Linked DNA regions of Saccharomyces cerevisiae S288C. The gene in region 2 interacts genetically with the main gene of each other region. Each region holds a gene or a part of one and is shown on either strand. Other genes may lie near its edges.

The links.
Region 1: mutations in RGC1 (region 2) and MEF2 together harm fitness more than expected from each alone (negative genetic interaction), as found in Saccharomyces cerevisiae (one large-scale study listed by BioGRID).

The regions. Positions count from the first base shown.
Region 1 is NC_001142.9:229,318-233,073, forward strand, and holds the start of MEF2 (mitochondrial elongation factor MEF2), read left to right. Parts: upstream 1-1,983; coding exon 1,984-3,756. Other genes in the region: GSM1 (Gsm1p), read right to left, coding at 1-1,564. UniProt on the Saccharomyces cerevisiae protein: Mitochondrial GTPase that mediates the disassembly of ribosomes from messenger RNA at the termination of mitochondrial protein biosynthesis. Not involved in the GTP-dependent ribosomal translocation step during translation elongation.
Region 2 is NC_001148.4:752,877-756,632, forward strand, and holds the start of RGC1 (Rgc1p), read left to right. Parts: upstream 1-2,000; coding exon 2,001-3,756. Other genes in the region: PIS1 (CDP-diacylglycerol--inositol 3-phosphatidyltransferase), read left to right, coding at 1-43; ALE2 (Ale2p), read left to right, coding at 425-1,372. UniProt on the Saccharomyces cerevisiae protein: Positive regulator of FPS1 glycerol channel required for the glycerol efflux.

The DNA.
Region 1 (3,756 bases), on a different chromosome or scaffold from region 2:
TATGATCCAGATATTCAAAAATAAAGGAGGTGCGGTCTAATAGTAAATTTTTGTTAAAACCTGTTAAAGAATAGAATTCGTTACTGACAAAACAAATCTCGCCTGATCTTCTCCAGATGCACATCGGTGTGCAGCTTACTAATTTTGCCATGTTCTCCAAATCTAATAAAGCCCTTTGCAAGGTAACTTCCTGTAATAGCAAATCCTCTTCAATCATATTGGATGTTAACGAAATGAAAATTGGAGCATATCTTTCTAGTATAGAGCGTATTATAACTTCTAAATCATATCTCAAATTATGCTTTTGGGTACTGTGTTCGTCTTTTACTGAGGCAGATTTATCAATTTCAGCTCCTTCAAGAAATTTTTTTCTTAAAGTAGTTAGCAGTTTGGTGTATGCGAGCTTGTAATTATGCGGTTTTATTAAACATTTATTGTCATATAGGTCTTGAGGAGTCTTTACTAATTCACGAAACTTTGAAGGTGATATGAAATCGGTATCATGTTTCTCCAGATCTGCATCGGAGTGACTAGAACTGTCACATTCGCTTTCCAGTTTGGCGTTATGTGATGGGTGTGTATTAGCGTTTGCTCCACGATTCAAATGCAGCATGTCTAAAGATATAAAGGGCCTAGACACTACTTCATCATATGTATTGAAAGTAGAAGTGGAATGGCCGATCGAGGAGTCCTTTTGGTCATTCACGCTTTTTGTCGAGTTTAAAAGGTTCGTTAAATGCAATGACGAATTTCCCCGTGTAGATGCGCTAGGATTGGGATATTCTGATTCTTGGAGGGAAAATATCTGGGAGTTATTCGGTAAAAACGGCGTTGAAATATCTACTATATCCTTTAATTTCATGTATTCGTCATTGCACCACATACTATCAAAGTGAATATTAGTTTCGTCATCGACATCATCGTCACTCTTATTACTATCGTCCATTCCAGAGTGCACAGGAACGTTTGAAGTAGCAACCAAACAATTGGTAGCCAGCGGCTGCTGCATTGCTTTATGTTGCTCTAGGAAATGCGACTTTAAATTGAGAGTACTCTTCCGTACGGTGGGTATGATGGGGTCATTCATTAAATGTACTGCTTGTGAAGCTGATATATTATTAGAAGTATTTTCTAAGACGGTCTGGCGGTTATTCGTATTGAAGTTCGTAATACGTGGAATAGATCCAGCGCTTTGAAAGTTATCATTTATATTATACGTATATTGGATATTCGTATTGTGGGCAGGTGTTTTGCCTGGTTTTTCCTGATCTGAAGATAGAAAATCTCGCTGCAGATGTACGCTTGAGGGGGATACCGTCTTCGACGGCACATCATGTATTACCAGCCTCTTCCCCAAATTCAAGTATGGTTGTGTTCCATGCTTCTCAATTCGTTTTCTTGATTTCCTTTTCTTATCTCTGCAAAACTTCCCAATATTTCTTTTTAAACAGTTTTGACATGGCCTCCCTACGTCACACTGTATATGTTTGGTATGACAGAATTCACAAGCTGTCTGGATAGACTTTCTCGTCTGTTTCAACTCTGAAGGTAGTTTTTTGGTCATATGTATATATATTCTTGTATGCTGTATCCAAATATATTATTTCTTTACTCCCTTTATTGCTAAGCTGTAATACGTTAAATCATTCGAAATATGATCTATTCATGCAAAAACTTGATGTGTGTAACAAAGAAAATATCCGGTTCAGAGATCCGAACAAATGATAGTCGTACCCTTCCCCTTAGTGTTAACTCGTTTAAGCAGGCTATGATGATTAGTAAATCGTTTCAGCCTCTTCTCATTTCGACAATTTTTGAGGCCTTCCCTTAGTGAGAGGGGAGATAACCAATCAGCACAGAGAACGACGACGGCGCGGAGGCTGGGCGGTTAAAAGAAGATAATGTGAAATAGATCAACAAGCTTTCTGGTGGCAAAACGGCAGTCAGAGATATACAAAAGGGGCAAGATAAGTGAGGGAGGCTATGTGGAAATGGAATGTGCGCAGATGGGCGGGCGCAAGAGTAAACATTAGCAAGAACCGATTAAGTGTAATTAACGTTGGAAGTAGATACTTATCGACCGCAAGAAGTCCACTGTCTAAGGTTAGAAATATAGGAATTATAGCCCATATCGATGCAGGTAAAACTACCACAACAGAGAGGATGCTTTATTATGCAGGAATCTCAAAGCATATTGGAGACGTCGACACTGGCGATACGATAACTGATTTTTTAGAGCAGGAGAGATCCCGAGGTATCACAATTCAAAGCGCTGCGATTTCATTCCCATGGCGAAATACTTTTGCAATAAATCTTATTGATACGCCGGGACATATAGATTTTACTTTTGAAGTGATTAGGGCTTTGAAAGTTATTGATTCATGCGTGGTCATTTTGGACGCTGTTGCCGGCGTAGAGGCACAGACAGAGAAGGTTTGGAAGCAAAGTAAATCGAAGCCCAAAATCTGCTTTATCAACAAAATGGATCGTATGGGGGCGAGTTTCAACCATACAGTCAATGACTTGATAAATAAATTTATGAGAGGAACAACTACCAAACCGGTGTTGGTAAACATTCCTTACTATCGAAAACAACCGACTAGCAATGATTATGTTTTCCAAGGTGTTATTGACGTCGTAAATGGGAAGCGATTAACCTGGAATCCAGAAAATCCTGATGAAATTATCGTGGATGAGTTGGATGGTACTTCTCTTGAGCAGTGTAATCGTTGTAGGGAATCGATGATAGAGACTTTGACTGAATACGACGAAGATTTAGTCCAGCACTTCTTAGAGGAGGCAGAAGGCGATTACTCCAAGGTTTCCGCACAGTTTTTGAACGCTTCAATAAGAAAACTGACTATGAAGAATATGATTGTACCTGTCTTATGCGGTGCGTCTTTTAAAAATATTGGCGTGCAGCCTCTATTAGATGCTATAGTTAATTATCTCCCTTCGCCCATTGAAGCCGAACTACCAGAACTAAATGATAAAACCGTTCCAATGAAATATGACCCCAAAGTTGGATGTTTAGTAAACAACAACAAAAATCTTTGCATTGCTCTTGCATTCAAAGTGATTACGGATCCAATCAGGGGTAAACAAATATTCATTAGAATTTATTCAGGTACACTAAACAGTGGCAATACCGTTTATAATTCTACTACTGGGGAAAAATTTAAATTGGGTAAATTACTGATACCCCATGCGGGAACATCACAACCTGTAAATATTTTAACTGCGGGCCAAATCGGATTGCTTACTGGCTCTACAGTCGAAAACAACATATCTACTGGAGATACACTAATAACGCATTCGTCGAAGAAGGATGGGTTGAAATCACTTGATAAAAAAAAGGAGTTGACGTTAAAAATCAATTCTATCTTCATTCCCCCACCAGTTTTTGGTGTTTCCATCGAACCAAGGACTTTAAGTAATAAAAAATCGATGGAAGAAGCTTTAAACACTTTAATTACTGAAGATCCCAGTCTTTCAATTTCTCAAAATGATGAGACTGGCCAAACGGTTTTAAACGGTATGGGTGAATTACACCTTGAAATTGCCAAGGATCGATTGGTTAATGACCTAAAAGCAGATGTTGAATTTGGTCAGTTGATGGTGTCCTACAAAGAAACAATTAATTCAGAAACAAATATAGAAACGTATGAGAGTGATGATGGATATAGATTCTCCTTATCTCTGCTACCAAATTCCGATGCCCTTCCTAACTGCCTTGCATATCCATTAGGAGTCAAC
Region 2 (3,756 bases):
CAACGATGCCAAGAATGCCAACGAGAAGAACAAGACTTACTGATAGGATGAGTTTCTTACTTTTTTTCTCCTTTTAATTGCGCTAATCTTTTATTTATGTGTAGTTTTTATTTATGTGAAATGGAACATTCGTTGATTTAACTTTAAAAGCAGCCTACTCTATCGTCTTGATTATACTTGGCACAACAAATGCTCAAATAAACGAAAAATTTCATATTGTTGGTACTTTTTCTCAACGCGGTTTTTTTCCTGTTTTTTTCGAGCAGTTCCCGAGGGCATATTTAACATAAGCCAAGGAGAGAGAAAAAACGTTTGTTGGACAGATCAAAAAGAAAAAGAAGAAGACCTCTCCTCTATCTCAAGCTTCTGCCCCCCCCCCCGGAAGGAATTCAAGCACGAAGGTGAACATTGCCTACAAGAAAAAATGGATGTTTTATTGTCGCTTCCTCAACCGGAATTATTTAAGACCACGGTGATTCCGTTCTTGGCAAATCGCAATATAATCAAGTCGGAAGCGATTCTCTCCAACTTGCACTCAATTTTTTATGTTGCTATATTCTACCATATTTGGTTTCTTTTTGGCAAATGGATCTTATTCCCACATTTGGTTAAATGGAAATTGGACTATGACCAAAAACATAACGTCAAGAAAGATGAGAAGACAACTTCGGAACGTCAAGCTCAACATTACAAAAAGAAGTACACTTCTTTGATCAATCAAAGTTCAGTCCACTTAATATCCCTACTGCAAAGCATAGTGGTCCTGTACTACTCATTGAAGTTCTTGCTTGATCCAAAAGCCTCGGCCGAGCCCTACCAAACCTCACACTCTCGAGTGTTTACAGAAAATCGAGACACTCAAGTCATCTGTATTTTTGCTATTGGTTATTTCGTCTGGGATATCTATATTTCCACCATGTATTCTACTTTCCCCTTCGTTGTGCACGGAATAATCTCCACCGTCGTGTTTTGCATCGGATTGAAACCGTACATCCAATATTACGCCCCAGTGTTCTTGATGTTCGAACTTTCCAATCCCTCCTTGAACTTTAGATGGTTCGGTATCAAATTTCTACCCCAGAAAAGCAAATTCTGCTCTCTACTGCTGCTGTTGAACAATTTGACGCTCATGGTCGTCTTCTTTGCCGCTAGAATCGCCTGGGGGTGGTTTCAAATTGGAAAACTATGTTACGACTTTTACCAGGTGCGCAATGAACCTGGTTTCTTAGTCTTTGACACCATTGTTATCCTTGCAGGCAATTTCGTCCTGGACATCTTGAATGTTATTTGGTTTTCTACCATGGTGTCTGTGGCTGCAAAGGTCTTGAAGAAGGGGGAGTCTGTAGACAAAGTCACTAAGAATGAACAATAATCCATGGAGGCACACTTTAACATGTGCATATATGTGTATATAGACTATAAACTTGTGTAAGCTATGCGAGCATTACAAACCTAGAAAATTACAGGCAATAAATCAATATTGATACATGGCGAATTTTTGTGGGGGGGGGGCAGGATCTTTGCCTACATTTTCTTCTTTAATTTTACCTAGACTGAGCGATTCTGCCACCTTCAGGACTACTGAACACTTTCAATGCTACTTTTGCCAGAATTATACTATACTACCACACTTTCATGTGATGAAACGTGAAACTCTAATCACGAGATTTAGGGGGAGGTGTTTCATATGCGGATAACGCCGTTCTCGCGCAAGCTGATTTTCCATTGCTTAATAAAAAGGCGAAAAGCCTCCTACATAGAGGATGATGTTGGTTTGACCGTGATTGATGTCCAAGTAGCTGTGGCTTATTGGGTATTCTTTCGGAAGCTTTTGTGATTTTTTTGTTAAGGTTTGAGAGTGGTTAATTGAGCCAAATACGGCGCGGTACAGGTAAAGAGAGAAGAATCATAAAGAAAGCTGTTTTCTTTATCCTAGTCTACTTTTTATGGCTTTGTGTGCTAAAAGAAGAAAAACAAGAGATAATTAAGTGGATTAATAGATGTCTGACTATTTCACGTTTCCTAAGCAGGAGAATGGCGGTATCTCGAAGCAGCCTGCGACACCAGGTTCAACTCGGAGCTCTTCTAGAAATTTGGAGTTACCGAAGAACTATCGTTCATTTGGTGGTAGTAGCGATGAACTGGCATCTATGTATTCCGCCGACTCCCAGTACTTGATGGATATGATTCCTGATTCATTGACGCTGAAAAATGAGCCAGCATCTGGAAATACGCAAATGAACGGGCCAGATGGCAAAGAGAATAAGGACATAAAACTTGACGAGTATATATTACCCAAGACAGACCCAAGGTCACCCTACTATATTAACATGCCTATACCTAAAAAATTGCCGAAGAGTGAAGGTAAGGCGAGGGCTAAACAAAAGGTTAACAGGGCTGATCCTTCTGATTTAGATGTGGAGAACATTTACGAAACTTCCGGGGAGTTTGTTAGAGAGTATCCGACAGATATTTTGATTGATAGGTTTCACAAATGGAAGAAAATCTTGAAAAGTTTGATCGCTTACTTCAGAGAAGCTGCCTACTCTCAGGAACAAATTGCAAGGATCAACTACCAGATGAAAAATGCCGTAAAATTTGCTTTTCTTACTGATTTGGAAGATGAAACAAACAAACTGGTTGATCCAAGTATATCTAAGTTGCCTACTAAGAAACCTCAGCCTGTCCCATTGGCCGCTCAAAAATTGGACAGCAAGTACGACACAGATGTGGAACAGCCGCAGTCAATCCAATCAGTACCTTCGGAAGAGGTAGCTTCAGCTTCTTCTGGCTTCATGAAATTTGGGTCAGGATCCATTCAAGATATTCAAGTGATTTTGAAGAAGTACCATTTATCTTTGGGTAGTCAACAATATAAGATCTCTAAGGAAATCTTGGCATATATTATACCCAAATTGACCGACTTGCGTAAGGATTTGACCACAAAGATGAAAGAAATTAAAGAATTAAATGGAGATTTCAAGACTAACATAGGCGAGCATATCAAAATAACAAGCAGGCTTCTGAATAAATATATTGCTTCAGTGAAGTTATTAGATGAAGCATCCACTTCGGGCGATAAGCAAGGTGAAAAATTAAAACCAAAACACGATCCATACCTTTTGAAATTACAACTAGATTTGCAGCTGAAAAGACAATTACTCGAAGAAAACTATCTTCGAGAAGCTTTTCTGAATTTACAATCAGCAGCACTACAACTGGAGAAAATAGTATATTCTAAAATTCAATCCGCATTACAGCGCTACTCAGCGTTAATTGATTCAGAAGCACGATTAATGATCAAAAATTTGTGCCATGAATTGCAGCAAGGTATTCTATCTAGACCACCGGCTGTAGAGTGGGATAATTTTGTCTCTCATCATCCTACCTGTCTGATGAATTTAAAATCGACAGACCCGCCACCGCAACCCAGAAGATTATCTGATATTGTTTATCCTAACATGAAATCGCCGCTGGCCAAATGCATTAGAGTAGGATATCTACTGAAGAAAACAGAGTCTTCTAAAAGTTTTACTAAAGGTTATTTTGTGTTGACTACAAATTATCTTCACGAATTCAAAAGCAGCGATTTCTTTCTAGACAGCAAGTCTCCCCGTTCAAAAAATAAACCTGTTGTTGAACAATCAGACATTAGCCGTGTGAATAAGGATGGGACTAACGCTGGCAGTCACCCATCGAGCAAAGGGACACAGGATCCGAAACTGACGAAGAGAAGAAAGGGTTTGAGTTCTTCGA